2 linked regions of the Drosophila melanogaster genome follow. The protein of the gene in region 1 purifies or fractionates together with the protein of each later gene. This does not show direct contact. Each region holds a gene or a part of one and is shown in the gene's direction. Other genes may lie near its edges.

Region 1 (3,755 bases):
TTTGAGCGATACTTTCATTCTTGTCTGACTGTGAGTGAGAGTAGTAGTAGTGCTGCCTGCTGCCCCAGACAAGTTAGGAGGAGTATATCTGAAATTTAGTGCACGTTCAGTTTCATTGGTTTACATAGAGCAGTAAGGTAACGATTTCAATTGGATTGTGTTCATAAAAAAAAAACGCAAACATAAACAAATCATATTTTATACAAAATGCCTAGATATGTTTTGGTTTTTTTTTTTTATTGTTTTGTAATTTTGTAATTGGTTTTTTTTCGCAGCTTCTGGCACATTCAAAACTTACCAAATGGTCTCCAGCTTTTTGTGTTTAGAATGACCAAAACAATCTCTAGCAACAATATTGAGCTTATTCGATTCTCTGCAAAGACATTTCACCCTTAAGAATTATTCTAGCATTTTTGTTTGGTTTTTTTTTTTTTTTTTTTTTTTGTATTTTTTAATGGTGATTGTGTGTGGGTAGTTGTCGGTAGTTCTTAGTGAGACAGCAGATAGGAAGAAATAGGAGCGTTGAACTCATGAGTTGTTGGTTTGGGGCGAAAGAATTCAATTCAATTAATTTCCAACTTTAGCTGGATGTCATAGACTACTACATTGACTAAAACCTTGGCGAGCTGTCGGACAATAATGCTGATTTTGGTTTTGGGTTAATTAATGATAATTTTATTAGATTTATTCCACAACACACCGAAAATTGCATTTGTAAATGCTACGGAAAAATGTGGTTTGCTAACCTACAAATTATTTTATAATATATTGAGATTTTTCAAGTATGATTTCATATGGCTGAGTTTTAACCTATTAATAAATATTATTACAGATGGTTTGCCCAGATAAGATAAGAGGAATACCAATTGCTACAAAATCCGTTTCAGTCAATAATACAGATTAAAGTCCAAGTTTAGTAAGAGATATAAAATATCACTAAAATACGTTGTTTTTTATAGTTTACAGAATCATGACTGTCTTGTTAGTAATTCAATCCTTTAAGTTTCCCTGATACTTGTTAAACGTTTTCAGTTGCTATTGCAGCCCTGCCAAATATTTTGCACCCCACTGTACACCCACTGCAGTACACGACTGTATCAAATGCCGCGTAGGAAAATAAACAACACAAACCCACACACAGACAGATTTTCCGTTGGCGAAACACTTTTCTGTATGAACGCAGTCTAGTGTGAAAAAAAAATATTACGAAAATCAGCACGCAGATTGGCGTTCCGGCTGCCGATTTTTTATTAAACAGCAAAATTAGGCTAAAAATCGATTTAAGACCACTTAGTATGCATCGACTGCACATGTGTGTGTGTGTGTGTGTGTGCCCGAGACGAAGACGACTTACATACAAACACAAAATGCACGTACGCCTGTGGGTGTCTATGTGGGAAAAGAAGTATACAAACATACATATGAAGTAACTGTTTTTCTATTTTTTTTCATTTTGTTTTTGCACAGCAAAATAATTGCCTTGGGTGGGCACAAAAGCCAGTGGGACTTAATTTAAACGATAGTTGGCTGTTATCCGGCCTTTGGGAACTTACGTTTTTCATGTACGGCGCCTCGAGCATCGCCTCCACATCAAAGTCCTCGGCCATATTCGAAAATTACTTCGCTGCAATTCGGGGTGCTCCGTGAAAAAAGTCCCCTGCTCGGTGTCTGGCACGTTTGGAGAAATCAAAATGTGGTGGGGACGCACAGCGGAATTCGTAGGACGACTTACGAACTTCTCTTTTGGCTTTTGCGATTTTTTAATTAGAATTTTTGCCAATTTTCAACCAGATTTTCTTCTCTAGCGTGGCTGCTTGTTTTCGGCTTCAGGGTTGTCACAGAACTTATCGATGATGAACAATCGATAACTAGTGACCGTACTTCAAAAAGTTTTTAAGTGCTTTGCAAAACGTCGATCTATCGATACCGAGAAAAACATCGTTAAGTATTGCTATGGGAATTGATGTCACATCTCTAATCAAATACCATCACGTCGAAATACAGTAAAATTCTGTTGGTAAACATAAGCAAAATTAAGGCTGGCAATTAATGCGGCAGCATGCAACCAGTTGATTACAAATTTGCAAGCATAGTCAACCTGGCCGAAAGCCTGCTGAATAGATTTGGGGCCGATTCGCATAGATAAGCGAGTAACAAGCATCTACAGCTGCTGTTGAGTCATCATCTTTTAGCCAAATAAGCCAAAAAACAAGGCGAACAGCCGTTGGCCAGCTAGTGATAGAGCCCCAGGTGAGCCACAGGTGAGAGGCGTTGTCTTCGCTGGGGATGGCGTAAGCTGATCCAACGAACCACCACCAGCCAGCAAAGTATAATCGTTACGCGTCGCTGACTAGGTGTGTCTAAGCTCCGACTAACTTTCGTCTACTTTCGCAGAGCACACACACACTTGCCCACACCCAGCGACTCAAAAACCCCAAAACCAACCCATTTTTGGCAACATCCCCAATGGAGGACTACAAGTTCCTGTTCAAAATCGTCCTGGTGGGCAATGCTGGTGTTGGAAAAACATGCCTAGTGCGCCGCTTTACTCAGGGTCTATTTCCACCTGGCCAGGGTGCCACCATTGGTGTGGATTTCATGATTAAGACCGTGGAGGTGGAGGGCGAGAAGATCAAGCTACAAATCTGGGACACCGCCGGCCAGGAGCGGTTCCGATCCATCACGCAAAGCTACTATCGATCGGCTCACGCCTTGATCCTGGTGTACGACATCAGCTGCCAGCCCACATTTGACTGCCTGCCGGACTGGCTGCGCGAGATCCAGGAGTATGCCAACTCCAAGGTACTCAAAATCCTGGTGGGTAACAAGACGGACAGGGATGATCGAGAGATACCCACCCAGATTGGCGAAGAGTTCGCCAAGCAGCATGACATGTACTTCTTGGAGACATCCGCCAAGGAGGCAGAGAATGTAGAGCGTCTGTTCTACGAGATTGCCGCCGAATTGATTGGTCAGGCAAGGAGCAAGGATGGCAGTAGTTCGGCCGCAGCGGCAGCCGCCCAGCGTCAGTCGGAGGGCAGCTCCATCGGACTGGGGAGCTTCAGTGCCAAGGCAGCGCAGAGCAATTGCTGTGGCGGACTCGCCAGCGGCGGCTCCAACTCTAGTCAAGGCGGCTGAGCAGCTGCAAACTGAACTGGAAGCTGAGCAGCTAATCTGTAACTTGTTAAGGACTAATCGTGATATTCCATTTATCTTTTATTACCACAATGCTCCCACATTCTAACACATACATACATATGTTAAATTTTGTTTTTATAAGCATGATTATGACGTGATCGTTTGCCTTTGTCTTTGTAACGATTCCTATTAGATTGTTAAAACACATCGGCTTCAAATACCTTTAAATGTAAAGGTATTTAGAGCAATTCTCTTCGCTTTCACTAAACTACGATAACAACAAACATTTAAAGTACAATGTGCAAACGGATCTGGAAACTGTGCAGCTAATCTGTTATCTGTTATCGTGATATTCTGTTCATGCTTAAGGGTTTATTATTTTAATTACAAGACTAAAAAAATTGATTATTTCTGTATCCCCTTTGGTTTACAGAAAGAAATTGATTGTAAAAACTAATTTACTATTTATCACGATTAAGATCCTATGGGAAACTAGCTGTCAATGACTAAGGATGCTAAATATTTGTGTTACAAGAACTCCATTGGAGGTGTTTAAGACCGCCTGATTTTCTTGATTTGTATTATATAGACGTATGTATTGATCTGATTATGGATCG
Region 2 (3,755 bases), 2.5 Mb from region 1:
AAACAAAAAGCAAAGTTAAAACCGCGACTGTTTGAATCTATTTGCCTTTTATCAAATGCCGGTAAGACAAAGAGAGAGAGAGATAGAAGGGGAAAGAGGATGGAGAAGCCAGAACGATCGGAGGCTGTGTGAATGAGTGAGCGAGATGGATGCGAGCAGGTAAAAAACCCGTCGTATATTTTGGGAGGATGGGGGCCGAGGGCGGTGGGCGGGGCAGTTGGTCTGCAACGCCTAACTGGTTCTTGGCAACCAACTTGTTTTTTCTGTAGATTGCCGCCGTCTGTGCTTTATTATGTTTTTTCCCTCCGACTTTATGCCTGTGCAATTTTTAATATGGCAACTTGATTTAAACGAAAAACTTACCCAATAAAATCGTAGACGTGGATTTATGCTTGTTTTTCGATCAATTCAATTGCCTGCGGTTATTTTATCCTTGCCTTCGTGGGGGTTTTGTTTTATATTTTTTGTTTGAAACTATTTTTACACGGGGATGAAAACAACTTTTCAGCATGGCAACAATACAAAAATGTTGCAGCACATTCAAAGCAACAACAAGAACAACAGGGAGGTAACATATGATAACCGAGGTCAGGCGGAAAGTGTGAGCGGGACAGGAGATTATCTTTTTGTTTTCTATTTTGTATGTTTCCTCAGCGAAGGAATTACAATAAATAATTATTTCCCAAAGACTTTATTTCACTTGGAGCACAGCATAAAAAATCCCTGAGCCGCTCACTTTTTCACTTCCTTTTGTTGGGGTTTTCGTCTTTTTTTTCGAACTTATTTTTTGCCACGAACTCGAGGTTTGGTTTGTTGTTGTTGCTAAGAATTTCAATACAATTATGGCCCAAATAGCATTTTCACTTTTCCACACAAGCACGCAGCCACCGCACGCACACACACTCACACAAGTACACAGTTGTTTGGCTCCGTTTTAAATGAAAATATAATCAAACATTTACATTGCCGTGTGTTTTTGCTCCACGAAAATGTATGATTATGTATGATTAGTTTTCCTTGCTCGCTGCACGCGCGAAAATCCGACGAAACAAAGAAACAAGAAACGACGCGAAGAGAACGTAACAACCTAAATAAACCCGATACAAAAATCGCGTCCGAATCGGCTCGTCGTTTCAACCAAAATCACCAGTAAAACTTTGCAGAGGCTTCGGGATGATGTGGCCAGACTCGCTAACTGTGCTAACAGCTGTAAGAAGAATGCCCCTAGTTTCGGAATAAATGTCTATCGTGTCTCCGATAATAAATGTACGCAAATGTTGGTTTTCTTGAAATTATTACATACATTGAAAAGTCTAATTGCTTATATTGTATTCTCTTTAAAATAAAAAGTAATGAACGAATGCGTGAGATATGATATAAATAGAGATCTCCAGTAACTTAAAACTCGATAGGTAAACAGCGTTCAAATACTGTTTACAATAATTGCTGAATATCTTTTTATATTTTATATGATCGATCTGTGAATCCTCCGTTTTGTTATTTTATAATGTCTTGCTTTATGCAAGACCAACACATGCATTTAACAAATTTAAATTGCAACTATAAATTTGCGCGCGCGACATGCAGCCCTGAAATGTCAATAATCTAGGAAATAAACTTTTGCAAAATCATAATCAATTCAAAAATCTTGCACACACGTCTCTAAATCTTTCGTACATTAATGCTCTGTGTGCAAATTAAATATCTTATATGCTTGTTTGGTTATTTCCTTATTTCCATGTACAATTAGCAGCCGATAGCAACTCTTTCTCATGCAGCCCTGGGCATGTACGAAAACGTAACGTAACGTGACCAGCAAACGGCGTGACGGCAAACGGGCAGCGCAAAGCGGACGAGCGAAAGGCGAACGAGTAGAGAAAAATTATTGAGCGCAGAGAAAAGTCCACCAAATCGAACGTCGCAGCAAGTGAAAAGGGCGAAAACCGGATAAAAAAAATATATAAATTACTGTGATTGCAATATATAAATAAGTGCGATCCAATATGAATGAGGAATACGATGCGATTGTGCTAGGAACGGGCCTCAAGGAGTGCATCCTCAGCGGGATGCTGTCCGTGTCCGGCAAGAAGGTTTTGCATATTGATCGAAACAAGTACTACGGCGGCGAGTCCGCCTCGATAACGCCGCTGGAGGAGCTCTTCCAGCGCTACGGACTGGAGCCGCCCGGCGAACGATTTGGGCGTGGCCGCGACTGGAACGTGGACCTGATCCCCAAGTTCCTGATGGCCAATGGCCAGCTGGTCAAGCTGCTGATCCACACGGGCGTCACCCGCTATCTGGAGTTCAAGTCCATCGAGGGCAGCTACGTTTACAAGGGCGGCAAGATAGCCAAGGTGCCGGTGGACCAAAAGGAGGCCCTGGCATCCGATCTCATGGGTTCGTTAATAATGCTCTTTTAAGTCCCGTTGCCTTTTTGCTTGGCGGTGAGCCCCCCACGAAAAATTGTGCAAATTACCAGCTGTGCTTGTGTGTGTGCGTGGTTGTATGTATGTATTTTCGTACTCGACTGTTATCTGCTTCCCCTCTCTCGCCCGCACCACTCTCTTTCTCTTCTCTTCTTTGTCTGCCTTTTCACTCGCTGGCAAAGCTCTTGTTGTTGTTATTCCCTTTTTTTTAATGTGACACGTATGTGTGTGCCGAAAAACAGTTGTTTTCTTCGCTCGCCAAAGAATTTCTACCAAAGTTTCCCCCACACATATCCATTTCCACACCATGTTTGTTGGCCCAACTATTATCGCCCTATTCCGATTGGAGTCGAAATTTTAATCGCTCTGCGCTGATTCATACACCTGCCGCTAATTGGTCGCCTCCATTTTACACCTGAATTTCGCTTTGTTTGAAATTTAAGTTTTTCCCTCTTCTTCGTGGCAGCAATGCAATTAGCTAAAACACGCTCTATTTATTTATGATTGGCTCTTGAATTTTTCCATTTCAATTTTTACTTAGTTTTTGCAACCAGGTTTTTGGCCAGGCGCATTGAACCCCCTTCACTTTACAGTGGAGATTGCCTATAAACGAAAACATTTCATGACTTTAGATGTACTACATTTTTTAATTTTTGTCTTTAATTATCAATAATTTGCATATAAAATAGAAATTTTCAATGAAAATGTGACTATTAGGTAGATTTTACTTCCGTTTGTAACAATACCTATTGGATGTCTCAATTTGCTAATTGAAAGTTAAACACCTTGTCCATGCTTCACTGTGTCCGCATTACACATATGCTCGGAATGACGTCATGGGGTGGCCAAGTGGTTTCTGATTGTTGGTGGTGTGTCCTCCGCCCCCTAAATTGAAGGTTTCCCACTGTAGTTGCGTGCTGTTGTCCCAGTGAGTGTCTGTATGTGAGTGTTTGTGGCATGCAAATGAAATGGAAACGGGAAACTTGAAACCCTCGGGCTCGTGCACTCCCTTTATATGCAGATCCTGAACCCCAAACTGACCAATATGGCATTATGGATATACATATATAAATGTGACTTTACTTGCAGGTATGTTCGAGAAGCGTCGCTTCCGGAACTTCCTCATCTACGTGCAGGATTTCCGAGAAGATGACCCCAAGACCTGGAAGGACTTTGACCCCACCAAGGCCAACATGCAGGGTCTGTACGACAAGTTCGGACTGGACAAGAACACGCAGGACTTCACCGGCCACGCCCTGGCCCTTTTCCGCGACGATGAGTATCTGAACGAGCCGGCCGTGAACACCATCCGGCGGATTAAGCTCTACT

Evidence for each region. The genes of interacting proteins can lie anywhere in the genome.
Region 2: the proteins of Rab30 (region 1) and Gdi purify together in Drosophila melanogaster (affinity purification with mass spectrometry, with the first as the bait; one large-scale study listed by BioGRID). This does not show direct contact.

The regions. Positions count from the first base shown.
Region 1 is NT_033779.5:7,030,817-7,034,571, reverse strand, and holds the start of Rab30 (Rab30), read left to right. Parts: upstream 1-1,965; 5' UTR 1,966-2,335; intron 2,336-2,394; 5' UTR 2,395-2,466; coding exon 2,467-3,138; 3' UTR 3,139-3,755. Other genes in the region: caper, read right to left, coding at 1,554-1,607.
Region 2 is NT_033779.5:9,492,864-9,496,618, reverse strand, and holds the start of Gdi (GDP dissociation inhibitor), read left to right. Parts: upstream 1-1,742; 5' UTR 1,743-2,003; coding exon 2,004-2,397; intron 2,398-3,515; coding exon 3,516-3,755.